7 linked regions of the Callithrix jacchus genome follow. The protein of the gene in region 4 interacts with the protein of the main gene of each other region in a biochemical or structural test. Links are inferred from orthologs where the notes say so. Each region holds a gene or a part of one and is shown on either strand. Other genes may lie near its edges.

Evidence for each region.
Region 1: the proteins of GRB2 (region 4) and SPRY2 form a complex in vitro, tested with the Homo sapiens proteins (2 studies listed by BioGRID and IntAct, with this or other methods). The link is inferred for Callithrix jacchus from reciprocal best matches to the Homo sapiens genes GRB2 and SPRY2.
Region 2: the proteins of GRB2 (region 4) and LAT form a complex in vitro, tested with the Homo sapiens proteins (3 studies listed by BioGRID and IntAct, with this or other methods). The link is inferred for Callithrix jacchus from reciprocal best matches to the Homo sapiens genes GRB2 and LAT.
Region 3: the proteins of GRB2 (region 4) and ERBB2 form a complex in vitro, tested with the Homo sapiens proteins (4 studies listed by BioGRID and IntAct, with this or other methods). The link is inferred for Callithrix jacchus from reciprocal best matches to the Homo sapiens genes GRB2 and ERBB2.
Region 5: the proteins of GRB2 (region 4) and DNM2 form a complex in vitro, tested with the Homo sapiens proteins (3 studies listed by BioGRID and IntAct, with this or other methods). The link is inferred for Callithrix jacchus from reciprocal best matches to the Homo sapiens genes GRB2 and DNM2.
Region 6: the proteins of GRB2 (region 4) and MAP4K1 form a complex in vitro, tested with the Homo sapiens proteins (3 studies listed by BioGRID). The link is inferred for Callithrix jacchus from reciprocal best matches to the Homo sapiens genes GRB2 and MAP4K1.
Region 7: the proteins of GRB2 (region 4) and FRS2 form a complex in vitro, tested with the Homo sapiens proteins (2 studies listed by BioGRID, with this or other methods). The link is inferred for Callithrix jacchus from reciprocal best matches to the Homo sapiens genes GRB2 and FRS2.

Annotation. Positions count from the first base shown.
Region 1 is NC_133502.1:34,892,466-34,895,182, forward strand, and holds the end of SPRY2 (protein sprouty homolog 2), read left to right. Parts: intron 1-433; 5' UTR 434-484; coding exon 485-1,432; 3' UTR 1,433-2,217; downstream 2,218-2,717.
Region 2 is NC_133513.1:28,976,691-28,980,731, forward strand, and holds the start of LAT (linker for activation of T-cells family member 1), read right to left. Parts: upstream 2,801-4,041; 5' UTR 2,524-2,800; coding exon 2,424-2,523; intron 2,232-2,423; coding exon 2,204-2,231; intron 2,102-2,203; coding exon 2,067-2,101; intron 1,821-2,066; coding exon 1,739-1,820; intron 1,601-1,738; coding exon 1,413-1,600; coding exon of another isoform or gene 1,326-1,412; coding exon 1,262-1,325; intron 1,184-1,261; coding exon 1,089-1,183; intron 1-1,088. Other genes in the region: SPNS1 (protein spinster homolog 1), read right to left, coding at 3,279-3,749. UniProt on the Homo sapiens protein: Required for TCR (T-cell antigen receptor)- and pre-TCR-mediated signaling, both in mature T-cells and during their development.
Region 3 is NC_133506.1:120,159,730-120,163,984, reverse strand, and holds the start of ERBB2 (receptor tyrosine-protein kinase erbB-2), read right to left. Parts: upstream 2,801-4,255; 5' UTR 2,624-2,800; coding exon 2,551-2,623; intron 1-2,550. UniProt on the Homo sapiens protein: Protein tyrosine kinase that is part of several cell surface receptor complexes, but that apparently needs a coreceptor for ligand binding. Essential component of a neuregulin-receptor complex, although neuregulins do not interact with it alone.
Region 4 is NC_133506.1:131,303,794-131,307,917, forward strand, and holds the start of GRB2 (growth factor receptor-bound protein 2), read right to left. Parts: upstream 2,801-4,124; 5' UTR 2,587-2,800; intron 1-2,586. UniProt on the Homo sapiens protein: Non-enzymatic adapter protein that plays a pivotal role in precisely regulated signaling cascades from cell surface receptors to cellular responses, including signaling transduction and gene expression.
Region 5 is NC_133523.1:9,992,234-9,995,367, reverse strand, and holds part of DNM2 (dynamin-2), read right to left. Parts: intron 2,772-3,134; coding exon 2,607-2,771; intron 287-2,606; coding exon 54-286; intron 1-53. UniProt on the Homo sapiens protein: Catalyzes the hydrolysis of GTP and utilizes this energy to mediate vesicle scission at plasma membrane during endocytosis and filament remodeling at many actin structures during organization of the actin cytoskeleton.
Region 6 is NC_133523.1:34,195,093-34,199,114, forward strand, and holds the start of MAP4K1 (mitogen-activated protein kinase kinase kinase kinase 1), read right to left. Parts: upstream 2,801-4,022; 5' UTR 2,675-2,800; coding exon 2,576-2,674; intron 2,404-2,575; coding exon 2,346-2,403; intron 2,231-2,345; coding exon 2,140-2,230; intron 1,082-2,139; coding exon 1,017-1,081; intron 1-1,016. Other genes in the region: EIF3K (eukaryotic translation initiation factor 3 subunit K), read left to right, coding at 4,020-4,022. UniProt on the Homo sapiens protein: Serine/threonine-protein kinase, which plays a role in the response to environmental stress. Appears to act upstream of the JUN N-terminal pathway.
Region 7 is NC_133510.1:72,118,454-72,121,953, reverse strand, and holds part of FRS2 (fibroblast growth factor receptor substrate 2), read right to left. Parts: exon of another isoform or gene 2,970-3,500; intron 2,606-2,969; exon of another isoform or gene 2,600-2,605; 5' UTR 2,574-2,599; coding exon 2,508-2,573; exon of another isoform or gene 1,699-2,507; intron 1,275-1,698; coding exon 1,088-1,274; intron 326-1,087; coding exon 167-325; intron 1-166. UniProt on the Homo sapiens protein: Adapter protein that links activated FGR and NGF receptors to downstream signaling pathways.

The sequences.
Region 1 (2,717 bases), on a different chromosome or scaffold from region 4:
GCTACATTATTAATGCTTAAGGCGAAACGACCATGAGAAATGGAAACCTATTTCACATTTTGAAAGAATTTTCAACTTCTGAAAACGTTGGTAGCAGTGTTATATTCCAGCAAAACTTTCTTGCGATTTTTACATTGAACCTGAACCTTGCAAACTGTATGTTTATTTGAATAAGGAATTCTTACTTAAGTGACTAAAACAAAGATCAGCTTTGTGTTGTTGTACATCACGGGATTACAGAATTGTCAGTAGCCAGCCATAATTTTCACTTGGGTACATGCGTCATTGATCATATGGCTAATACCTCCCCACTGTCATTCCATTTCAAATCCTGTTTCTCTAGGGAAAGTGGGAAGTGAGGAGTGAATTCAGGTGGGCGGAGAGTGGGAAGGATCTTAGAGTATAAACCGTTCTTTCCTCTTGGCTTCCTCAGGAGTTCAGATGTGTTCTAAGCCTGCTGGAGTGACCACACTTCCAAAACCTGATGGAGGCCAGAGCTCAGAGTGGCAACGGGTCGCAGCCCTTGCTGCAGACGCCCCGTGACGGTGGCAGACAGCGTGGAGAGCCCGACCCTAGAGACACCCTCACCCAGCAAGTACATGTCTTGTCTCTGGATCAGATCAGAGCCATCCGAAACACCAATGAGTACACAGAGGGGCCTACTGTCGTCCCAAGACCTGGGCTCAAGCATGCTCCGCGCCCCTCCACTCAGCACAAACACGAGAGACTCCACGGTCTGCCCGAGCACCGCCAGCCTCCTAGGCTCCAGCACTCGCAGGTTCATTCTTCTGCACGAACCCCTCTGTCCAGATCCATAAGCACGGTCAGCTCAGGGTCGCGGAGCAGTACGAGGACAAGTACCAGCAGCAGCTCCTCTGAACAGAGACTGCTAGGATCATCCTTCTCCTCTGGGCCTGTGGCCGATGGGATCATCCGGGTGCAACCCAAATCTGAGCTCAAGCCAAGTGAGCTTAAGCCACTAAGCAAGGAAGATTTGGGCCTGCACGCCTACAGGTGTGAGGACTGTGGCAAGTGCAAATGTAAGGAGTGCACCTACCCAAGGCCTCTGCCATCAGACTGGATCTGCGACAAGCAGTGCCTTTGCTCGGCCCAGAACGTGATTGACTATGGGACTTGTGTATGCTGTGTGAAAGGTCTCTTCTATCACTGTTCTAATGATGATGAGGACAACTGTGCTGACAACCCGTGTTCTTGCAGCCAGTCTCACTGTTGTACACGATGGTCAGCCATGGGTGTCATGTCCCTCTTTTTGCCTTGTTTATGGTGTTACCTTCCAGCCAAGGGTTGCCTTAAATTGTGCCAGGGGTGTTATGACCGTGTTAACAGGCCTGGATGCCGTTGTAAAAACTCAAACACAGTTTGCTGCAAAGTTCCCACTGTCCCCCCCAGGAACTTTGAAAAACCAACATAGCATCATTAATCAGGAATATTACAGTAATGAGGATTTTTTTCTTTCTTTTTTTAACACACATATGCAACCAACTAAACAGTTATAATCTTGGCACTGTTCATAGAGAGTTGGGATAGTCTTTGCTGTTTGCGGTGAAATGCTTTCTGTCCATGTGCCATTTTAACTGATAGGCTTGTTAGAACTCAGCTAATGGAGCTCAAAGTATGAGATACAGAACTTGGTGACCCATGTATTGCATAAGCTGAAGCAACACACACACACTCCTAGGCAAAGTTTTTGTTTGTGAATAGTACTTGCAAAACTTGTAAATTAGCAGATGACTTTTTTCCATTGTTTTCTCCAGAGAGAATGTGCTATATTTTTGTATATACAATAATATTTGCAACTGTGAAAAACAAGTTGTGCCATACTACATGGCACAGTCACAAAATATTATACTAATATGTTGTACATTCGGAAGAATGTGAATCAATCAGTATGTTTTTAGATTGTATTTTGCCTTACAGAAAGCCTTTATTGTAAGACTCTGATTTCCCTTTGGACTTCATGTATATTGTACAGTTACAGTAAAATTCAACCTTTATTTTCTAATTTTTTCAACATATTGTTTAGTGTAAAGACTATTTATTTGAAGTTTTATTATTTTATAAAAAAGAATATTTATTTTAAGAGGCATCTTACAAATTTTGCCCCTTTTATGAGGATGTGAGAGTTGCTGCAAATGAGGGGTTACAGATGCATATGTTCAGTATAAAATAGAAAATATATTAACGTTTGAAATTAAACTGAGCTGTTTTGTCTTCTTTTATCTTTTCTTTCAAGTGTAAGAAACTGCATTTTATGTTAAGGGTAACATTTTAGTGAAATAGTGCATCACTTTTCTATAGAATTATTTTATGATTGCTACTTTAAAGTAAGCTGGATTTGATGATGGTTCAGAGACAATTCCAGCAATCAAGAGCCAACAACATTTGACTTACCTATCTGTACTTAACATAGGAGAGCTTATTTTAGCTGGATTATTGAACAACATTTTTTTTTTTTTTTGCCAGATTTGCTGACTTGTTTTGTCGAGGTTTTGTTTTTAAAAAAAATTTTTGGAATTGATTTGTAAGGGAAACCTTTCTTAAAAATTAACAGTAGACTTTTTCTTTATATACAGTATCAAGGATTAATTCCATGAGGATAATTTATAACTAGTAAAATGAGTTTAGCTCAACAAATATTTATTGAATGTCACCTGTGTCTCAGACATGCAGTATTCACAGGTGAGTTCTTATAATTA
Region 2 (4,041 bases), on a different chromosome or scaffold from region 4:
TGTGGAGATAAGGCTTTGCCATATTGCTCAGGCTACTCTTGAATTCCTGGACTCAAGCAATCCTCCCTCCTCGGCCTCCCAAAGTGCTGGGATTACAGGAGTGAGCCACCACACCCAGCCAGCTATTTTATCAGAACAGTCTGCCCCCTGAACTGTTACATTCATAGCATTAGCCCAGTAGAGGGCACCGCAGTAAACTCTGAAGGAATGAATGAATAAATGAATGAATGAATGAAGTACTTGGAGAGTCTGGAGTTCAGAAGAGAGCAAACTAGGAATCTGGATGGCAAACAAGGCCAGGGTGTAGAATTGATAGCCCAGGACAAGTATATACAGAGAGAGCAAAGCAACAGAAAACTAAAGAACGCTGGACATTGAGGAAAGCCCAGAGGATATGACCAGGCAGGATGAGACCAGAAGGAAGGAAGAAAAACAGCTCAAAGGAAACCGGGCAGTGCAGGGAGCAGAAGAAAACACACACACACACACACACACACACACACACATACACACACACACACACACACACACACCAGCTTCTAATTAATATCCTTAGAGATGTATAAGATGGTATTGCCTCCATGAAACAAGAACAGGAGGCTATAAAAAAAGAACAGTCAGAAAACAAGAAAGAGTTTCTGGACAGGATAAATGAAATTGCAGTGGAAGGGTTGAAGAATAAAGTCAAGGAAATCTCCCAGATGATATAAGGAAAGGACAGTAAGGTAGGAAAGAGGAGAGAGAAAGTTAAGAAAATCAGAAGAACAGGCCTGGACACGGTGGCTCATGCCTGTAATCCCAGCACTTTGGGAGGCTGAGATGGGAGGATCACTTGAGCCCAGGAGTTCAAGGCCAGCCTGAGCAACATACCGAGACCCTGTCTCTACAAAAAATTGTTTTAAATAAGCTAGGTGTGGTGGTATGCGCCTGTGGTCTCAGCCACTTGGGAGGCTGAGGCTGACCGAGTAGCCTACTTGGGAGAATCACTGGAGCCCAGAAGTTCGAGGCTGCAGCAAACTACGATGGCATCACTGCACTCCAGCCTGTCCCTAAAATAATTAAAAAATAAAAACAAATGCCCGACTCACTGGAGAAGGCGCTGTCTCGAAGGCCAGAAGTGCTGAGCGCAGGAGCTGGTGGGGCGGCAGTGCTAGCAGCCGGGGCACTGTCGGGAAGCACCACCCTGAAAGGAAGTGAAACGGGCTGGTGAGCTCAGGCCCAGCCTGAGCCCCCACCTCCCACCTCCCACCTGGCCACTCACAGGTAGCCCGGGTTGTGATAGTCATCCTCATCCTCATCCTCATCCGCATCCTCACAGGCTGGTTCTGGGGGTAACAACACAGGGGTCAGCCTAGCCCAGGACAGGCCCCAGCCTCCCCCCACAGCCCGGGCACCTCGGATCCCAGACGCACCCTCGTTCTCATAGCTCGGCACGCTGTTGGCTTCAGAGACAGGGAGAGAGGGAGACTGAGTCAGCTCAGGCCAGGACGATCTTCTTCCCGGCCCCAGCCTCCTCGGCCCTTCCCCACACTTACCACCATCTGAGTCCCGCCGGGAAGATGGCATCCGGTGGGAGCCCCCGGGGGGCTGTGGGGATCTTCTGGGAGTCAAAGGTCAGGGGTCATGGCTGAGGTGGGGCTCAGGGGGCAATGGCAGTTGCAAAAGGGAAAGGGGCTACCAATCCAAGAAAGTGAGGGGGTGGAGGGGCGTTTGGAGGGGTAGGGGAGCAGCTACTCACGGGATGGGAAGCAGGTCTGGCTGGCTCAGGGGTGGGTAGGAGGTGACAGGTGGGTAGGTGGGCGGCCTGGGGGCGAGTGTGTCTGAGGACACAGAACCAAGTTGAAAGAAGGACTCCAGACATCGTCAAGGCCTCAAAGAACAGACTAAGCTCCTGAAACCGGTGCACCTTGGACAGGCCTGGGGGTGCCATCTCCCCTCTCCCAGCTCAGGTCAAGGCCATGTGGGCAGCCCCAGGGTGGCAGGGGCTGAGGGAAGGTTCACACACACTCCTACACCAGGGGACCCTCTCCCCGACACTGGAGGTAGGGGACCCTCAATGTACTCACAAGGTCGTTTGATCTGGATGCCCCTTGGATACAAACTGGTAAAAAAGACACAGCTTGGGGCTGGGGCTGGGAGAGGCCCCAGTCCTGCCCCACCGTGGGGAGTGGAGGGAGACCCAGGGCAGCCAGGGCAGACTCACCTATCTGAGGAGGTGCTGTCATAGGAGCCTGGGAAAGAGAGGGCTGCTAAGGCAGGAACACGGGGTGCTGAGGGCAGAAGGTGTGGGGAGTCCAGGGGCTCTCAGAGACACTGGGATTGGAACGGAGGCAGGGCCAGAGCCAGGACAGACGCAGGGGCTGGGAGTGGTGAGGATACCGTCACTGTGCCCAGGCCCCAGGCACCCCACCATTCCCACTCACCTGGCAGCCTGTGACAGTGGACACACAGCGCCATCAAAACGGCCAGGATGGGCAGCAGCAGGAGGCCCAGCACGCAGGGGACCAGGATGGTCTCCTCCATCTGCAGGGGAGCTCGGAGCAGGCCGGCTTACCCCACAGGCCCCTCAAGGGCAGAGCCAAGGCCAGGCAAGGACAGGGTGAGGACCAGGTGAGGACTGGGTGAAGATCGGACCAAGCAGGGGGCAGGTAGGCAGCAGGTGGCGTGGGAGCCCAGGAGGAGGCGGCAGTTCCCTCCCCGGGGCTCCCTGGATGGGTCCCCTCTTTTTCTGGGCTGAGTGGGCGTCCAGCTGGCTGTGGGAAGTCTCTGCTCCCCGGGTGGTCAGACCAGGGCCCAGACTGAAGTTGGGGGACCCAGCCACCCGTGTCCCAGCCCTACCCGCCCCTCCTCAGCGCCCGCCTCTCCCTGTGCCTGCCCACCCGCCTGCCTGCGGCAGGAAGCTGTGGTGAGCACCAGGCGAGGGCAGGAAATCATCGAGCTCTCAGTCGGCTGTACCCGCCCCCTTCCCACTCCACCCTGCCACTGGGGAGGGGGCAGGAGGAGGCCCGGGAGCCACCCCAGGCTCTCACCAGGGGTCTTTGGGCCCCCAGGAATGGGACAGCCACCTGCTGGCTGGCAGCCACGGCCTCCACATCCAGGGCCTGGGGAGGCAGCAAGCGGGGAGGCCCTGACAGCAGGAATTCTGGGGTGCAGAAGGCAGTGCCCACCCCCACCTCAGCCAGTCCTGAGAGGCAAGGGGCAGGCTCCGGGGAAGCAGGGGCGTGACTCACAGTCACACCAAGCCAGCTCACACAGAGGACAGCAGTCTCCGCTCTCAGTCACCCAGACCAGAAGGGCAGAGACTCACTCAGAGCCCCAAGGGGTGACCCACAGTCTTCAGGAGCCCTGGGGTGAAGACGGGACGCAAGATCAGAGGTCACCCAGAGAAAGACAAGAGCAGGCACCTGGGGTCTGGCTACAAATTTTATTCCATAACAAATAGCACCGAGCCCCTGGGGCTGCCCCTGTGGAGGGGGATCCCCTTCCTGTACCCCCACCTCCTCCCCTGAGCTGCCCATGTAGTGTCTGGGAGCTGGGATACGGCCCAGGGTCCCTCTGGAAGCTGGGTCAGGCCAAGGGGTTAGGCCCAGGCCCCTTGTGGGGTGGACCCAGGGCCAGCTGCGGCAGATGTGCAGGCAGGCAAGCGGCGGCCTCTCAGATGAGCACGCTGGCCACAGGCACCCGGGTGGAGCGGCCCCGCTGGGGCACCACGATCCGGTCATCTGTGGGCCCTGCCTCGCGCAGCAAGCCTGCAGAGGGAGGGTCAGAGCCAGGGTGAACCGGATGGACAGACAAAGCCAAAGAAGGGCAAACAGGCAGCGGGAAATGGATGGGGCAGTCACAGAGCTGCCCAAGGGGTAGACGCAGACACGAGGAGAAAACTGTGGACTGAGCCACCAGGTGCACAGAAGTGGGCAGACAGATGGACGGACAGACAGGCAGATCAAGAAGCTGGGCAGAGGACAGCCCCTAACTGACCCTGCATGTGCAGCTGCGCCCGCCGGCGGTCGCCCTCAATGAAGATGGCGGTGCCCAGGAAGG
Region 3 (4,255 bases), about 11 Mb from region 4:
CATCAGAGCCCAAAAATGCCCTGGACATTACTGGGTAGCTGGGAGCCTTGGATAAGTTGCTTCATTTCTCTGAACTTCCATAGTCTCATCTGTGCATCTACTTCACTGGACTGTTATAAATGAAACCATGGATAAAAACCTGGCCTATAGAAGTACACCGTACATTTCTTCAAAGTTAAGGCAAGACAGGTTCATACAGCAGGAATATGGGTAATAAACCATGAGAAAATTAGAAGTGCTTCATGTTTGACTTTGGAATGTCACATATTTTTTCTTTTTACATTTAATCCTTATATTTTCCTTTTTTTTTTCCCAAATAAAATGAGTACTTTCCCCAAGTACGGTAAAGAGAGGAGGCTCTTGGAAAAATCATACTGGAATTAAAATATGAAGGAGTGCTGCAAGATTTAAAGGGTGTACTTGCTGCAGTGTGCAAAAATCCACACCTCTAAGAAAGGATCTCAGCAAAATCCTGACCCCTCTGGGGCTCTCTCTAGGCCTTCCCTTCCCCCACATTCCTGCCCCAGCCCTCAGCCCTTGAGTAAAATCTGGGTGCCAGACGCAAATGGGTGGTGAATTCTTTTTTCTGAAACAGGGTCTCACTCTGTCGCCCAAGCTGGAATGCAGTTGTGATCACTCACTGCAGCCTCAACTTCCTGAGCTCAGGTGATCCTCCTGCCTCAGCCTCCAGAGTAGCTGGGACTACAGGCATGTGTCACCACATCCAGCCAATTTTTGTATTTTTGTACTGAAAAAGTTTTGCCATGTTGCCCAGGCTGTGCAATGCCTTTTTAACCATCTCCTGCACAACACAATCAATAGTGCAGGTTGAGGGGTGAGGACATGAGGAGGCCCCATCCAGAGAACCCAGCCCTGAAATCCAGCTCTGCAGCAGCTGCTATTCCTTGATCAACTCTCAGCCCAAGGTGAAGAAGGGCAGCAGCTCAGCCTGACAGCCCAGCCTGGCCTCACCCTTCTCATCAGAAGGTGAGAGGTGAAGATGCCTGTCTGGGAAACAGGGAGGGCAAGGATGAACTCCCTGGAAGAGAGGAGCCTTCTTCCTCCGCAAGAAGGTGTGGCCACAGAAGGCTACTCCCTCTGTTTATTGCATATCTGGCCCAGCACCTTGAGGGAGTTCCTGGAGAGGACAGAGTTCAGACTGTGTCCCCAAGTCAGCAGAGGAGCTGCTGTTTGGCAACACAATCACAAAGACCACACAACTCAGGGACAGCCTAGCACAGACACGCAGAGATAACACAGCCATATACTCACTCACAGAGGGCCCCTCGGGCAGCACAGACACGATGACGCCCACCCCTCCCCAGACCCCCTGACCTATAGGGACCACCCACAACTCCCAGAACACTTTCATTCTGTCTCTCCTACAACCCAGTGATTCAGGGAACAGCGTCCCTCATTGCTCCAGGTGCATTCATTCATACAGTGATTTCGAATGCATGGTTGGGGGTCGCACTGCCTGGGGTCCCATCTTGACCCCACCATTTACCTCCTGCTACACAACTTCTTTAAGTCCAGAATGCTGGCAAACCTTCCACTGTAGAGGTGTTCTAGGATTAAAGGAGAGTGCATGCAAAATGCCACACACAGTTCCTGGCAGAGTATACCTGGCCCAGGCTATATGTTAGCTTTTATGATTAATGCACACAGGTGGACAGATGGGTCAGGATACACACTGCCCCCACTCAGCCTTCCCCAAGCACAGCACCAAGGAAAAGGCGGCAGAACCACACAGCCCTCTCTAGGCCTCCATCTGGCCGGTATTTCTTAGCTTCCTTCCCTGGGAACTCTCCCACTTTATACCCCAAGAAACCCATCACCACCCCTCCATGGTCCACACACTCCAAAAGTCACAGAGCACAGTTCCCAGGCTGGCCCTAAGAATCTGTTCAAAGCAAACGTCTCCCCCGCCCCCAACCCAGACCCCAGCAAGAGGCCACCCTCTGGGCCACCCTTTCCTCCCCGGCTATGTTTGGGACAGGTTGCTATCCCACCCCGTCACCCCACCACACACACACACACACACACACACACACACACAACCGACCCAGCCAGAAGCAGGAGCAACCAAACCAAAATCGTCTGAAGGGGAGTGGGGAGGGACAGGGCAGAGGATCCCCCCCAAGGAATCCAGCCCAGGCCAGTCCGGAGGCGGAGGCTGCCAACTGGAAAGGCTTTGAGAAAGCTTGAGGGGGCTCGAGAAGGGGGGAAACACTCCCTCACGCTCTATGCAATACACCCATTGCGGGAAAAGTTTCTAAACAATTTCAGAGAACTTCTTTGACAAGCTCCCGGATCCCCCTGGGAGCCTGGAAAGAGCCAGTATCTGGAATGGGCCATCTCGAGCCGCTGCCGTGTAACTGCCCCCTCCGGCCCGAGGGCCCGGCTGCCCTGAGCGTCTGGACCGTCCGCAACTTCGGGATGTTAGAGTTCGTCCGGGCCCCTCTGGCCCCGCGGGCGGGTGGACCTCGGAGGGGGATCCAGGCGGCAGGGTCCCGCCGCTGCTCCGTCCCCTCCCCACACCAGACCCACCTTGGGTGCCCGCGGCTCCGGGGGGCAAGAGGGCGAAGAGGAGCCCCCAGCGGCACCAGGCCGCCAGCTCCATGGTGCTCACTGCGGCTCTGGCCCCATGGCTCCGACTGGACCCGGCTGGGGAAGCGCGGGGCGCGGGGTGCGGCGAGGGGTGGAGGCCGGGCGCGCAGCGCCGGAAAGGGCCCCGTGGGAAGGGGCGCGCAGCTGCCCGGGGGGGGCTCCCCTGGTCTCTCGGGTCCCGAAGGAGGGGAATCTCAGCTCCACAACTTCATTCTTATACTTCCTCAAGCAGCCCTCCTCCTCCACCTCCTCCTCCTCCTGTGATTGGGAGCAAGCGCGCTCCCAGCTCGCCCCCTCCAACTGCATTCCAACAAGTCTGGGAGTGGCAACTCCCAGCTTCACTTTCTCCCTCTCTCCGCGCAGGCCTGGGTGCGTCCCTCCCAGCGCCGGGACGCTTGGGTTGCCTGCAGCCGCTCTCAATTTTCCTCGGAGAATCCCTAACTGCAGAGGCTGGTGATTCTGCCCCCTCCCCCAGAGTCCAGGACAAATTCCCTAGGCTGTCACTCTTCATGCTCTTTTAAGTCGCAGATTTTATCTTAAACATTCCTAGGAAGCTGGCGTCCTACTCATCCCAAGCCTATTTGTTTTAAAATCAAATAATGTTTTTCCACCACATCCTCTAGTAAAATTAATAGTCAAGGAGGAGGATGTGTTGTGTTTGCCTTGTGGCTTCCAGGACCCCCGGGCATATCTTCTGGAATCTTTGAAGTACCTTCTCCAGTCTGAAAATCACGGTCTCAAGGGGGTCTACAAATCTGGGAGGAGATAGTCATATCGCAAGGACTTCTTTTTTCTTTGAGTCGGAGTTTCGCTCTTGTTGCCCAAACTGGAGTGCAATGGCTCAGTCTTGGCTCACCAAAAGCTCCACCTTCTGAGTTCAAGCGATTCCCCGCCTCAGCTTCCCAAGTAGCTGGGATTACAGGCATGCGCCACAATGCCCATCTAGTTTTGTATTTTTAGTAGAGACGAGGTTTCTCCGTTTTGGTCAGGCTGGTCTCGAACTCCTGACCTCAGATGGTCTGCCCACCTTGGCCTCCCAAAGTACTGGGATTACAAGTGTGAGCCACTGCGCCCAGCCGAGGACTTCTATCTTAGTTCTTCAAAGTACATCCTTCTTGCTTATTTAAGGAGGCACCCAGCACCCATGCCTGCAAGGTTTCTTCTTTGCCCCTTGCCTTCTAGTAGCCTGCTTAATTCCACTTCCCAACTACATTCTACTTGGAGCCTCTGACCCTATGGGGATAGAAGGAAGACTTTTTTTTTTTTTGGAAATTTCAACAAGATATTGCATGAGATATATTTATACTAACAAATTATTCACTGTTTATCTGAAATTCAAATTTATCTGGGCCTCCTTATTTTTATGTGCTAAATCTGGCAGTTCTAGTTGGAATGCCCCAGCCAAGAACACAGCTATAATGGTCAAGAAGGGATCAAAGGCACCTATCAGGGACTGGAGAATGAAGGACACTAGCATCCCTTTCTCTCGTTCTCCCCCACACACCTCTTTAAAGGTATATACTTGCATTTCTAAACTTGCTTCCCTGTGCTGAGCATACTTATAGACAGGCACCTCTGGTGGAACAGAGCCCCAGAAACAGAGGGCTCTGAGACCGAGAGGACCTGAATTCAAATCTTGAAATCT
Region 4 (4,124 bases):
CTCAAAAGCCACTTGGTAATGGCGGAGACTTCCTCTGAATTAAGCAGTTAAGAATTAATTTCTCTCAGGAGAGCATGGTGACTCTATTCTGTATTACTTCCTTTCTCCAAAATCCTTTGCTCTTCTGTTCTATGCAACAATTAGAACTCCAATGCACAATATGCAACATAACAGGAATTACTGAAAAGAATCTCTAAGTACCAGCAACTGGTAGTACTTAAAACCCAGCAAACCTCTCAAATCGGAATAACTTGCTGACAAGTTAAGTGCCTCAAACATTTAAATGTCTGAGTTTAGGCTCCGCACAGGAGCTCACACCTGTAATTTCAGTACTTAGGGAGGCTGAGGCAGGCAGATCACTTGAGGTTAGGAGTTCGAGACCAGCGCGGCCAACATGGTGAAACCCCGTCTCCACCAAATACAAAAATTAGCCAGGTGTGGTGGTGAGAGCCTGTAATCCTAGCTACTTGGGAAGGTGAGGCACAAGAGTGCTTGAACCCAGGAGGTGGAGGCTGCAGTGAACCGAGATCCTCAGCACCACTCACTCCAGCCTGTGCAAGAGTGAGACTCGTCTCAGATAGATAAATAAATAAATACATACATACATACATACATACTAGGAGATAGCTGATCATAAGAATTAACTCTTTTAAATCTTGAGATTGGGAACATTTTGAACTTGGGAAGGAGCAAATAGAGATTTCTTTGTCAAAAACAACAACGAAGGCCAGTTATAATAGATGCAGAAAAAAGATCCCTGATTTTTAACTAAAAGCCTAACAAAGAATAAATTAGTACTACTACAACGCGCAGGCTTCAACTAATTCGATGGTCTAAATCAGTTCTAGCCTCTTACATTTTTCAGACTATTTTAACCTAATATAGACTTATAGTTGACCTTCACTTTTTAACATTAACACCCCCCACTAAAAGTCAAAAAGTCACATAAGCCCTGAGCTGACCCAATATTCCTTACTATTATAAAGACATACTGGAAGAAAGCATAAATAGGTACAAAAGCATAATCTTAAAAAACTAAAACACAAAACAACAAACAAACCACACTTGTAACCTAGTGGCAGGACTGAATTCTTAGGGATTAATTCAATCTTTTTTTTGAGACGGAGTCTCGCTCTGTCGCCAGGCTGAAGTGCAGTGGTGCGATCTGAGCTCACTGCAATCTCCGTCTCCCGGGTTGAAGCGATTTTTCTGCCTCAGCCTCGAGTAGCTGGGACTACAGGCGCGCGCCACCACACCCAGGTAATTTTTTTATTTTTAGTACAGGCGGGATTTCACCATGTTGGCCAGGATGGTCTGGATCTCTTGACAAAGTGCTGGGATTACAGGCGGGAGCCACCGCACCCGGCTGAATTCAATCTTTTGAGCCCCCCACCCCCTTCTCAGCGGGGGAACCTCAGCCTCCAATGGCTCTCTAGCAACCCTTCTGGCTGACTAGCGAACGCAGGGGAAAGCGCAAAAGTAAAGGCACCAAAGCAGGAAAGAGGATCTCTTCCCGAGAAAAAGGACGGAATCTTGAAATCAGAGAAAACTAACAGTGCGAAAGGGAAGAAACCTCGAAAAATTACGCCAGAGTGGGGACTACCAAGGAGGAAGGGGAAGTAGATTAGAAAAAAAAAAGAGGGGGGTGGGGGAAGGAAGGGGCAAATGACTTGCATTACACAAGCACTTCTTGTCCCTAGTGGAATGGACAGAAGTAGATAGAGAGGTAAGGAAATAACTGGAGAAGTACTGAGTGAAAGAGGGGTTAAGAAAGCCAGGGACTAATGCTGATTTCTCTCATGTGTCTGACATTTCTGAAAGTCAACAGCATCAAGAAGAGACACACCTCAAATGCACTTCAGTCCTCTGCAAACTGCACTTTCATAGCCTTTGAAGCCAGGCTTGAAAAACTTTCCAAACAAGCCATAACTCATATGTGGTTTACAATCACAGAGAGGGCGCGCTGCAAATGAAAATTACCAGCGCCCGCTCTCGCCGCAATGTTTCCTCGGTGCAGTCCAACCTGCTGCTGCTTAATTTTTCAAATAATTTTTTTTTAAGTCTCAGAATAAAGACATCTCCCCCGGGGAGATGAACGTTCTACCCCACCGTGGATTCCCGCACAAAATTAAGCCCAAAGACGCCAAGAGATGGTGACGTGGTTGTCATGCAGGTCGGAGGCGCATCAATCACCACAGCTGCAGCCCACACCAAGTCCCCCGCCGCCGGGATCGGGCGGACTGACTCAGTCGGGGTTTTGCCCTTCCGGGCTTCCCAGGCCCCTTTCGTGCAAACCCTTCCGACGAAGGCAGGGGACTTCACGAGGGAGCCCCGACTTCTACCCCCGGGCTCCCGGACACTGCACAGACAGCCGAGAGCCGGAGGAGGACGTTCCCCAGGAAGGAAGCGCCCCAAAAGGGGAAACGCAGAGTCCAGAGCCTTGGGCATTCCACTCCGCGTCCCGAGCTTCGCCGCCCCGACCCGACCCCAAGGGCCGGGGTCCCGGTTCCCCCAGGGCCCACTCCCGTCGCAGAGCGGAGAGGAAGAGACACAGGAGCGGCGCCGAGCGCAGCCGCCCGCACTCACCGTGGCGCAGCTAGTCCGCTCCGCGTCGGGCCTGACCCACCTCAACGCTGAGAGCGGCCGCCGACCCCGAGGCTGCTCCGCGAGGGCGGCGCTTGCTCCCGCCGCCGTCACGGTCACAGACACAGAAACAGACACAGACACAGCCTCAGCCACAGCCGCCGCCGCCGCCGCCGCCGCCGCCCGGTCGCCGAAGCAGCAGAGCCGCCTCGCTTCCGCTCGCCGTGGGTGTCCCGCGAGAACTTCTCCACGAGGCCCCGCCCCGCCCCGCCCCCGCGAGACTTCCCCCGGCGGAAAACGCCCAAAGCGCAAGCGCTCCTCCTGGGCCGGGCTCCGGCAGGTAGTGACTAGCTAGGCCCCAGGGCGCATGCGCCAGACCGCCCGCAGCAGGTGGCCTCGTCACGGCTCCGCCCCTGGGTCGCCGTAACCCTCTCGGTACCAGAGCGGGTAAATAACAGCTTAGTCCTGAAGGAATAAATTCTTACCCCGTCTAATCACTTTCTTTTCTCCTCTACCAAACCAAGGCAATTGGATATGGATGGGGGCTGGGGGGAGGAAGAGAGTTTCCAGCCTGAAGCACTCCAAACAGAAGACCAGGTCTTGAAATATTTGAGAATCCGTACAAACTCTGCAATGTTGAATGATTGGTGGGTTTGTTTACTCATTTATTTAATTATGTGCCTAATATAGGCTGAACACTGTGCTGGATATAGAACAGAAATCCTGGTCCTTAAGGAATTTACGGTCTAGGGAAGCAGAGAAAAATAAACAAATAATGCCATAAGTACTGTTATTTGGAGTTTGCTGAGAAAGCTAAAAAGATGGAAGAAGAATGGCTACTCTGCCCATTGCAAAAGAGCCTTTACAGAGGTGATGCGGCGATGTCTAAGCTGAGTCTTGGGGGATGAGTAGGAGTTTGCCAGGCAGAGAAGCCAGAGTAAGGGCATTTCAGGGAAAGGGAATGGCACGTAAGTACAGAGGCTAAGTACAGCGGAACGGAGGCGTGAAAGTCGTGTGCTGTGCAGTGCTAAGTAGTTCAATTCCTGTATGAGGCCGGTGAGTATGGGGGAGTGGCAGAAGATGAGGCTTCGGTAAATAATTCTTGTTTTTCAGTTATCAAAGCTCTTTCCAATTAAAGGATAGAACAGAACACACCTAGTGTTAATGTGTCTTCTGGAAGCCAAAAAAATAGCGTTGAGATGAGAATAACCAAGCATCTGATTGTACAGAGGAAACAAGCCCATTGAAACACAGAAAATGAGCCGGGCACGGTGGCTCAAGCCTGTAATCCCGGCACTTTGGGAGGCCGAGGCGGGTGGATCATGAGGTCAAGAGATCGAGACCATCCTGGTCAACATGGTGAAACCCTGTCTCTACTAAAAATACAAAAAATTAGCTGGGCATGGTGGTGCATGCCTGTAATCCCAGCTACTCAGGAGGCTGAGGCAGGAGAATTGCCTGAACCCAGGAGACAGAGGTTGCCTTGAGCCGAGATCGTGCCATTACACTCCAGCCTGGGTAACAAGAGCGAAACTCCGTCT
Region 5 (3,134 bases), on a different chromosome or scaffold from region 4:
AACAAGAACCTGCAGGCTGCACGCTTGTGGGTAGGGGAACCAGGCTCCCGGACCTGTGGCTGCTGGGGCTCTGGAGCCAGGTGTCGTCGACGGGCGGGGGCACGGGCGTGGACACGGTGCTGGTGCTGATGTCGCCAATGATGTTGAGCGCCTCCTTGAGGGCGTGGTACATGCGCAGCATGTCGTCTCGCCGCTGCGCCTGGTCGGCTGACTCCTCCATGAGGCTGCTCTGGTCCGCCGAGGAGTACAGGTAGGCCAGCAGCTCATGGTGGATGAAGGCCTTTGTCTGCGGGCAGGGGTTGGGGAGGCTCAGGCTTCTGCATCACCCCAACCCAGAACCCATAATGACTGCTGGAAATACATCTCCCACAGGGCGAGGCCACCCCCAGACTTCTTTGAGAAATCTTGCTCTGTCTCCCAGGCTGGAGTATAGTGGCTCAATCTTGGCTCACTGCCTCCCAGGTTCAAGCAATTCTGCTGCCTCAGCCTCCTGAGTAGCTGGGACCACAGGCGCACACCACCATGTTTAGCTAGGTTTTGTAGATGGGGCTTTACCATGCGGCCCAGGCTGCTTATGAGATTCTTATTCAACTTACTCCTAGCATCTTGTCTCTTCTATTGATACTGTCTTAGCTTCTTATTTATTTCCTTAACCTTGGCAGAATAGTCCTGTTATACTTTTATTTGTTTATGTTTTTGTGACAGTCTCACTCTATCACCCAGGCTGCAGTGGGTGATACTGCAACCTGCATCTCCTGGGTTCAAGCAATTCTTATGCCTCAACTTTCCAAGTAGCTGAGACTATAGGTGTGCGCCACCACCCCATCTAATTTTTGTATTTTTAGTAGAGACAGGGTTTCACCATGTTGGTCAGGCTGGTCTCGAACTCCCAACCTCAGGTGATCCACCTGCCTTGGCCTCCCAAAGTGCTGGGATTACAGGCATGAGCCACTGCTCCAGCCCCAAAGCTGGTTTATAAAGCTTTTTGAGTGGCTAGTGCCATGCCAAAGGCATGACCCACAAATGCCCTGAACCCTCCAGCAGCCTGAGCTGGAGATCGTATCAGCACAGCTGCATTTCACAGAAGAGGAACTCAGAGCCCTGAGAGTCTCCAGGGAACCTGGGGCCAGGCAGGTGATGCCCATGAGGAAGACAGGCTGCGCCCCCAGCCCATCAGGACACAGCAGCTGCCCGACACGACCTGAAGGCAAGGTTGCAACCAGAGTGAACGTGCATTTGAATCCCACTTCCTACTCTCCTAAGGGACTTGGGGCAGGTTACTTTATCTCTCTGGCCTCCAGTTTTCTGTCTGTGAAATGGAGTGCAGTGGCACCACCATAGTTCCCCGCAGCCTCAACCTCCTGGGCTCAAGCGATCCTTCTGCCTCAGCCTCCCAAAGTGCCAGGACTACAAACTGGTGTGAGCCAGGGTGGCTGGCCTCCTTCTCATTTTTTTTTTTTTTTTGAGACGGAGTTTCGCTCTTTTTACCCAGTTGCTGGAGTGCAATGGTGCGATCTCGGCTCACCGCAACCTCTGACTCCTGGGTTCAAGCAATTTTCCTGCCTCAGCCTCCCGAGTAGCTGGGACTACAGGCACGCGCCACCATGCCCAGCTAATTTTTGTATTTTTAGTAGAGACGGGGTTTTACCATTTTGACCAGGATGGTCTCGACCTCTTGACCTTGTGATCCACCCGTCTCGGCCTCCCAAAGTGCTGGGATTATAGGTGTGAGCCACCGCGCCCGGCCTCATTTTTTTTTTTTTTTTTTTTGAGATGGAGTGTCACTCTGTTGCCGAGGCTGGAGTGCAAAGGCATGATCTCGGCTCACTGCAACCTCTGCCTCCCAGGTTCGAGCCACTGTCCTGCCTTAGCTTCCTGAGTAGCTGGATTACAGGTGCCCATCACCATGGAGAAGATAGCATTTCTCCCTCGTGCAGTTAGTCTGAGGCCGGCATAAAGTAATTGAGAGAAGGTGCAGATCTGCGGTATTCGTTCCAGTTAGTGGACTCAATGGGACCATGGACCCAGTATGGCTCGGAAGCCCTAGGGTTTCCCAAAGAGACTGGCCGTGCAGATTCTGGTGTTTAAAGGGTAGTGACTTGTTCTGATTTGTTGCTGTTGCTGTTGTTGGAGACAAGGTCTTACTCTGTTGCTCGGGCTGGAGTGCAGTGGCATGACCACAGCTCACTGCAGCCTCAACCTCCTGGGCTCAAGTGATCCTCTCGCCTCAGCCTCCCAAAGTGCTACAAACAGGTGTGAGCCAGGATGCCTGACCTCCTTCTCATCTTTTTTTTTTTTTGAGATGGAGTCTCACTCTGTTGCCTAGGCTGGAATGCAATGGCACGATTTCAGTTGACTGCAACCTCCGCCTCCCGGGTTCAAGTGATTCTCCTGCCTCAGCTTCCCAAGTAGCTGAGATTACAGGCATGTGCCACCATGCCTGGCTACTTTTTGTATTTTTAGTACAGATGGGGTTTTGCCTTGCTGGCCAGACTGGTCTTGAACTGACCTCAAGTGATCCACCCGCCTCAGCCTCCCAAAGTGCTGGGACTAAGCGTGAGCCCCACGCCCGGCCGCCTCCGTCTCACTTTCAGTGTTCCACTCACATTGTTGATCATGAGGTGCATGATGGTCTTTGGCATGAGGTCGCGGATGGACTTGTTGATGATGGCCACGTACGAGTCCACCAGGTTGCGAATGGTCTCCACCTGCCGCTCCAGCTGGGGGTCCATGGAGAAGGTGTTCTCCTGGGCCCCGTCCTCGTTTTCTGCCTGCAAGTGGGAGGTGAGGTGCTTAGGGGTGACCTTGGCCTGGGGCGAGTCCTGGTTCTCTGGTAACCATCTGCCCTACTGTCCCATCGATAACTGACCTCATGCTGGCCCCTGAGAGCCCCGCTGGTACCAGGCAGACTTGCTTGCCCCAGGCCAGAGCTGCCCAAACAATGGGGTGATCCTGGCTGATGCTGGGGTGAATCCCCTCACCTGGGCATTGGAACGTGGTTGTTTTTTGTTGTTGTTTGTTTTTTGATAGTTTTTCTATGTCACTCAGGCTGCAGTGCAGTGGCACAAACACAGCTCACTGCAGCCTCAACCTCCTGGGGGGCGGTCAAGTGATCCTCACACCTCAGCCCCCTG
Region 6 (4,022 bases), on a different chromosome or scaffold from region 4:
ACAAAAATTAGCCAGGCCTCGTGGCTGGCATCTGTAGTCCCAGCTACTCAAGAGGCTGAGGTAGAACTGCTTGAACCTGGGAGGCGGAGGTTATAGTGAGCCAAGATCGTGCCACTGCACTCCAGCCTGGGTGAAACAGTGAGACTCCCTCCATTCTCAAAATAAAAAAAGAAAGAGAGAGAGAGAGAGAGAGAGAGAGAGACTCAGAGGGGTGATGAGGGAACAACAGACAGGCAGAAGAGAGACAGACAGACAGACAGAGAGGCCGTCAGAGCTCAGGTCTGTGGGATTCATTTCCTCTCTGGGGGCCTCACTTTCCCTCCAGAGGACTTCTTAATGAAGTCTTTCCTTTTCTAACATTTGAGGTCTAGGGCTGGAAGGAGTTAGAGGCCATATATAATATATATATATATATTTATATTATATATAATTATATAATATATATATTATAATATAATTATATAATATATATATATTATATATATATATATATTTTTTTTTTGAGACAGATATTTGCTCTTGCTGCCTAGGCTGGAGTGCAGTGGTGCCATCTCAGCTCACTGCAACCTCTGCCTCCCATATTCAAGCGATTCTTCTGCCTCAGCCTCCGAAGTAGCTGGGAGTACAGGTATCTGCCACCACGCCCAGCTAATTTTTTGTATTTTTAGTAGAGACAGAGTTTCACCATGTTGGCCAGGCTGGTCTCGAACTCCTGACCTCAGGTGATTCGCCCATCTTGGCCTCCCAAAGTGCTGGGATTATAGGTGTGAGTCCTTGCACCTGGCCCAGAGGTTATATTAAAAAAAAAAAAAAAAAAAATAGGCACAGTGGCTCAAGCCTGTAATCTCAACACTTTGGGAGCCCAGGGCAAGAGGATCAGTTGAGCCCAGGAATTTGAAATATGGCCCAGAAAGACAGTTCCCATGAGACACACACACAGCAACGGAAGAGGTGAATTTGGGGGTGGGGGCATGGGGGTGGGAGGGGTGCCTGGGTCCCCTTGTCCCTTCTCTAACCTTGGTAGATGTCCTGGAGAGAACCAGCCCCGCAGAATTCCATGCAGATCCAGAGTTTCTGCAACCTGAAGTGGTTGGAGAATCAGAATAGTAAGAGCAGTGCTACATTCTTATTTCCAGGAAAGCCCCTGCTTTGCCTCTGTCTTGTTCTAGCTCAGTAATGTAACAACAGCTCTCATAGCTCCATCTCTCCTGTCTACCAGAGTGAGGTTGTTTCATTCCCATTTTACAGATGAGGAAGTTAAGGCTCAGAGAGGAAATGTGGGGGGGGTGGGCAACTCAGCTCGAACCTAGGTCTTTAGGTGGGACCCCTCTGCCGTCCCATGCCAACCCAGGAGACAGGGAAGAGATCTCATGGGTTGTGGAGGTTTGGAGGGGATAGCGGGGCCCAGGACACCTGTTCTGGGGAGCAGAGGTCATTATTGGGGCATCTGGAATATTAATTTGGGGATCAGGGAATTTAGGAGTTTAAATTAAAGGAGCAGAGCGTGAAACTGGGGGAAGCAAAGGGCAGAATGACGAGAGATTGGTTTCAAGGAGGTTGATTTCAGATTCAGTTATGAAGAGATCAGTTTGGTGTACTCTTGGTCAGAAATGTGAATTCAGGATTGGAGATGAGATTAGAGGCTGCTCGAAAAGTGGGACTTAGGAGTGGGGATCGGGTAGGGTTAGGCCAGTTAAAAATAGGGGTCCAGGATGGGAAGTTGGGTTATGGTGAGAAATGGAGGTTCAAGGTTAGAACTGAGGGTGTCAAGGACGGGCACGGTGGCTCATGCCTGTAATCCCAGCACTTTGGGTGGCCGAGGCAGGTGGATTAGGAGGACAAGAGTTCAAAACCAGGTTGGCCAACATGGTGAAACCCTGCTCTACTAAAAATACACAAATTAGCTGGCTGTGGTGGCGGGTGCCTGTAATCCCCACTACTCAGGAGGCTGAAGCAGAAAAATGCTTGAACCCGGGAGGTGGAGGTTGCAGTGAGCCGAGATGGCACCACTGCGTTCCAGCCTGGGCAACAGAGCAAGACTTCGTCTCAAAAAAAAGAACTGAGGGTGCCCCCATCAAGAAACAGGGGCTCTGAGTTAGGGGCTGGGCTGGGTGCCAGGGTGGGTCTGAGGTTCATCACCAGAGATAACTCCCATGGTAGGCCACGATGTTGGCATGCCGGCAAGTTTTCAACATGAGGATTTCCTTCTGAAGGGTGGAGACATCGTCGTCTGGAGGGCGGGAGAGAAAAGGCAGCTTGCACAGAGAGAGCTACGGGAGGTGATCCCAGTCTCCCAGGAGGCCAAGCTGGGGACGCGGGGAAGGAGCTCCGGGTTCCCTCCTCACCAGGCTCCATCTTCACCATCTTCAGTGCCACCAGGTCCCCCGACACCTTATCTCGAGCCTTGCAAAGGGGAAGTTGGCAGTCAGGCAGATTCCATTTGCCGGAGTCTCTCCTCAGCATCCCTGAGTCAAGGCCAAGGACTGGGACCCCCCTCTTGCAGCCTCCTCCCTACCGAGGCCTCGCCTTAAAGGTCACTGGTTTAAGGGTATTGGGGATGGAGGGGCTTCCTCACCTTAAAGACTTCCCCATATGTGCCGCCACCCAGTCGCTGCAGCAGGTCGTAATGGTCCCGGGGGTCTCTATTGAAAATGTCAGGGTCCACGAGGTCCATCCCTGGGGGCCGGAGCTGGGCCTGCGCCCAGGGGCCAGCAGGGCCTCAGGGCTCAAGTTCTGGCACCTCCCTCCGTCCCCAGAAGCCCTGCAACCGCCTTGCCTCCGCGGGCTGTGGCCTCCCCCCACCCCACTCTCGCTTCCTGCCCCAGCTGCACTGCAGGGCTGTGCAACGGGCTCCACCCCCGTCCCCTGGGCTCTGAGAGCCTCTGAGGGGCAGCTTGTCTTGGGACCCAAGGGACCATCCTTAACCCCCAAGGCCCGGGGCTGGATGTAAATGTGATGCAAATGATCTTAATCGTAACTTGGGGTAAGGGGTGCCTTGGAACCCCCGCCCCCGTCTCCTAGAATGGCTAAACTTCTGCGGGGTGCTTGAAGGTTTGGCCACGACCTGAAGGCGGCAAGTCTGCACAGGGATGGCTATGCAGTGTTCATGCCTGTTCACCTGGCACAAACGTGCACTTAGGTTACCTCCTCTGCAGTGCGCAGGCGTGTAGACGTGCATATGCCTAGTTATCTGTGTGCACAGTACACATGTGGATGTACCCAGGGCATATACCTCCACATACATGGCACATAACTGTACAAAACCTGAACATAATATAATTCATGGCTGTACAGCTGGGACGCTCTCCCTCATCTCCAAGACCGGAACCTAATGGAGACGGGGCGCGATCCGGGGAAGTCCAGGAGCCCTCACCCCAGCCCCTGCCCTGCAGAGAACAATAGCTTCGTGGGACCCTCCTCCTGGAGCTGGGGACCAAGGGCCGGGACTTGAAACTGGAGAGCTCAGGATCCTGCACCGGGGGCCCAGGCCTGAGGCAAGAGGGACCGCAAGAGGGCATCTCCCTTGGAACTTGTCCATGACCTAAAGGGAGGGCTGCGGCGTGCATTCCCGCAGGGCTCGGTGGCTTTATGGCCGCACGCAATACAACGCGCGCGCACGCCGCCAGCGCTCCGGCAGCTTCCCGGGGACTTCGCGCGCGCACGCTCCCGCGCCCCCGGCACTGGAACTGGGACTGTGAGGCCGGGGAAAAGCTTAGCCCCGCCCCGGCGCCACGAGAGGCGCCTGCGCATTAGGATACAGTAGGCTTTTTCTCACGCTGTCCGTCCAGCTCTAGTGGAGCGAATGCGCACGCGCCAATTGCGCCTGCGAAGAAGTGTCATTGCCGCCGGAAAGTGTGGCGGCTGCTGCGAGAGCCTTTCCCTTCACTGCCCCCAAGGAGCTGGAACGACAACAACGACGTCGTTTCCGTTTCCATCGCCTCTTCCTTTTCCCGTCCTCGAGGACGCCGTGCCAAGCCGGTGTTAGCCTCCAGCCCTGGTTGTGGAAGACGACAGTAGTCATG
Region 7 (3,500 bases), on a different chromosome or scaffold from region 4:
AATATTTGACATACTTAGAATTACAGCTGTTTTTAAAAACTGACAACCATTATACTTCTGTTATCCAATGGTGATTTCCAGTGTATTACAGATTAAATATCCATAATCTATAGCTTAGAACTAAACACCTGTTACTCAAAATGTGAGAGGAAAAATGGGTACCTACTTGTAGGTGTTCGAGGTGTTCTAGGGACTTCTAATTCTGTCTGATGATTATTTCTTTCTACCACTGGCTCTTCCACCACATTTATACTATTATTTTGCATAATCTCTTGCAACATGTTAAATAATTCTTCTGCACGGGCACACTTAAAGGCAAAGATTCCTACAAATATAAACCAAAAGGGAAAAATAGTTAATATACCTTTAAAAAAACTATAGGAACACTTGACGAAGAGCAGAATTGTAAAGTAAGCATTCTATGCATCAAGAGTAAGAAATACCTTTTAAATAAATATATAATAAATCACTGATTATTCCCTGTTTCAAAACAAACCCCTGCCAAAAATTTACAGAATAATTTTCATTCATCCAAAGGAGATGGCCCAAAATAAAGCTAATGAAATCAAGACCTGCACAGTTACACTAGTCTGTTTTTTAACAGCAGGGGGAGCCTAACTCACCATTCCAAGGTTATCATTTGCCATGTAACAGGCCCCTTGCAAAGTCCCTAGGTGTTTTCCAATCGTTACCTTGTTTAATTATTACAGTAATTATAAGATAGGTATTACCATTTCCGTTTTATAGAGGAGAAACTTAACATTCAACAGAAGTCTTGTAACTTGTCAAGGCCATTCAAGTAGTAGGTAGTAAAAAAAAAACCAATGATAAAGACAGTCAATTTAGCAGGCCTAATCATTTACTAAAAAATCTTGAAGTTAACACAAGCCAAAATTTCCCGCATAGACAATATGCTTAATAAAAACTTGATAAATTAATACATAGTATATTATATCTTTTCTTAACAATCTATTTATTTTGGTATTTTTCTCAGGAGAAAAAAATATGAATTTAATCTTTGTATATAAAATAGCTGGAAGAGCAATATTTCAAATATAATATTTGGAAAAAAACACAAAGGTTCTACCTTGTCCAGTTTGACACCTTCGACCACTTTCAAAAGAAAAGAGATTCGAGTCATAGCCATAGCGTCGCAGGCAGAGGTAGTGCCATTTTACTGAGTCACGTTTGCGGGTGTATAAAATCAGTTCTGTGTCTGTAAGTTCCATTATGCCAGAACCTAACTCATTCCCATCATCATCCACATTAATAACCTAAAAAAAAAGTAACAGTCATACAAATATTTCACCAATTTGTCAGGAAAATGCATTGTTGCTAATTAGTTATTTGTAATTTGTTAGTTCATTCATCAAATAATGTGTGTGTCAGCCATGATCTATGTAGCAGTGTAACACTCAGTTCAGATCTGTAAGAAATTTATATTCCCACTGAGGAAACAAAATATACAAACCACAAAACATATATGATTAAGTGACAAATGCAACAGAGACTGCAGAAGGCAGGAACTGTGGTCTAAGGCTGTTGAGACACCTTCATGTAAGAGGAAAAAGACCTTTAGCTGGACTGCTAGTATAATTAAATTTATGCACAAAATAAAATAAGAAGGGAAATCTAGTGGATCAGGAGATACAGGGTACATCATGAAGACACAATGTTAAAGTAGAACAAAGAAAGTACCTTTCAAAGAGATCAAAATAAGATTGGCATGGAGTTCACATAAGCAAAGGTTTTGGACTGCTGAGCTTCAGAAAACATCCAAAGACTAAGATAGTAGATAACATTTAGGGAGAAGTTACTATTCCCCTGGGAGTGAAAAAAGAGTTTTATATGTATAATTTTTCTCACTTAACCCTCATAACAATCCTAGACTACATTGTCCAAAAAAATGGAAGTAAGACTTAGTAATAATGTAGCCTGCCCGAGGTCACAAAGCTTATAAAGTAACAGACTCACACCTAGGTTTGTGTGATCAAGGCTATTCTTTATAACAGATTGAGGTCAGATTATGAGACACAAAACAACTATGGGAGCATTTAGCCTATAGGTAACATAACAGCACAGAGTTTTGGCAAACAGGTTAGTGAATGATGAAAGAAGAAGATTAATTTGATGTTGACTACAGGATGAATCAGAGGGTGACTTGAGGTAAGAGTCCAGTTAAAAAATCATGCAGGTACCCATGAAAATAATAACTGAAAAACAGATGGTGATTCAACTGAAAAGGAACCCTGTGAAATGGCAGTTTAAAGACAGCGTTACCAGAATTGTATGGCTAATTAGATACAGAGGACCAAAGGAAAACTGAAAAAAATTCTGTACCGTAAGAAAACGTTGTCATCATTTATTAAATCAAGAAAAGACAGGGCAGAAAGAAAGGGAAATAGAAGAGTTTGGTGATAAAAGCCAGGAGTAAGATATGTTAAGTGAAATAAAAGAAGAATATCCAAGTAGGCAGTAAGATATACAACTCAACCAGTTTTACTGACCTTAAACTTGTTCCGATGGTTATCTGGGACAGTGTCTTTATCTGGACAGCTACAACAGCTACCCATGGCTTCTTCAGAAGACCATGTGTGTACTACATAAAAAATAATTTGGAAAAATTCATTAGATGAAGGATACAAAAATTGTAAACAGAAAAACACTTTAGAAATCATCTAACACAAACATTATTTTGATGCAGAAAATTAAGCCCAACAAGGTATATGGCTGCAGCTAGATTTTATACAACTAGCTAGTTGATTTTACTCAGTAACAAGAATAAATTTTGTGAGGTATTAATAATGTCACACAAATCTCAAATTTCTAGTTAAATTTGCAAAGGCCACCTATTCTAAAATTATCTAAAAAAACCCAACTTAAGATCTCATATATACAATATTATTTAAATAATTACTTTTTGTTTAAGAATATTGGAATAATATAATTAACCCTTTGTGGCTTATTAGGAATTTCATGCTCTTCTTTAAAGAGAGTGAGAGAGACAGAGAGAGAGACAGACAACAGAAACAGTCATTACGTTGCCCAAGGCTGGGCTCAAACTCCTGGGCTCAGATGATCCTCTTGCCTCAGCCTCCCGAGTAGCTGGGACTACAAGACTACCATGCTTGTTCTTCTTTAAATAAAAAATCACCAAAGGGATGGTGAATTTCTGGCTTGGCAGGTATTTTGACTGCTGTTACTCATTGTAGTATCTTTTATGTCTCCACAAGACAAGATTGGTAATTAAATTGGTAATTAAAACAAAATCAAATTGGTAATTAAAAGAAAATCAAATTTCGAATAGTGCATTAGTAAGAGAAAAAGACAACTCAAAATTAAGCAGTAAACTAACACACAGAACACTGGCAAAACTGATACATTATCTCTATTTAATACTTCTTTCCCATAGATGGTGAGAGATAAGTGGTTATATACCTGACATTGAGTATTTAAGAATACTCCAACTGAGAAGACAAAGAAAATATCAAAGCACCACT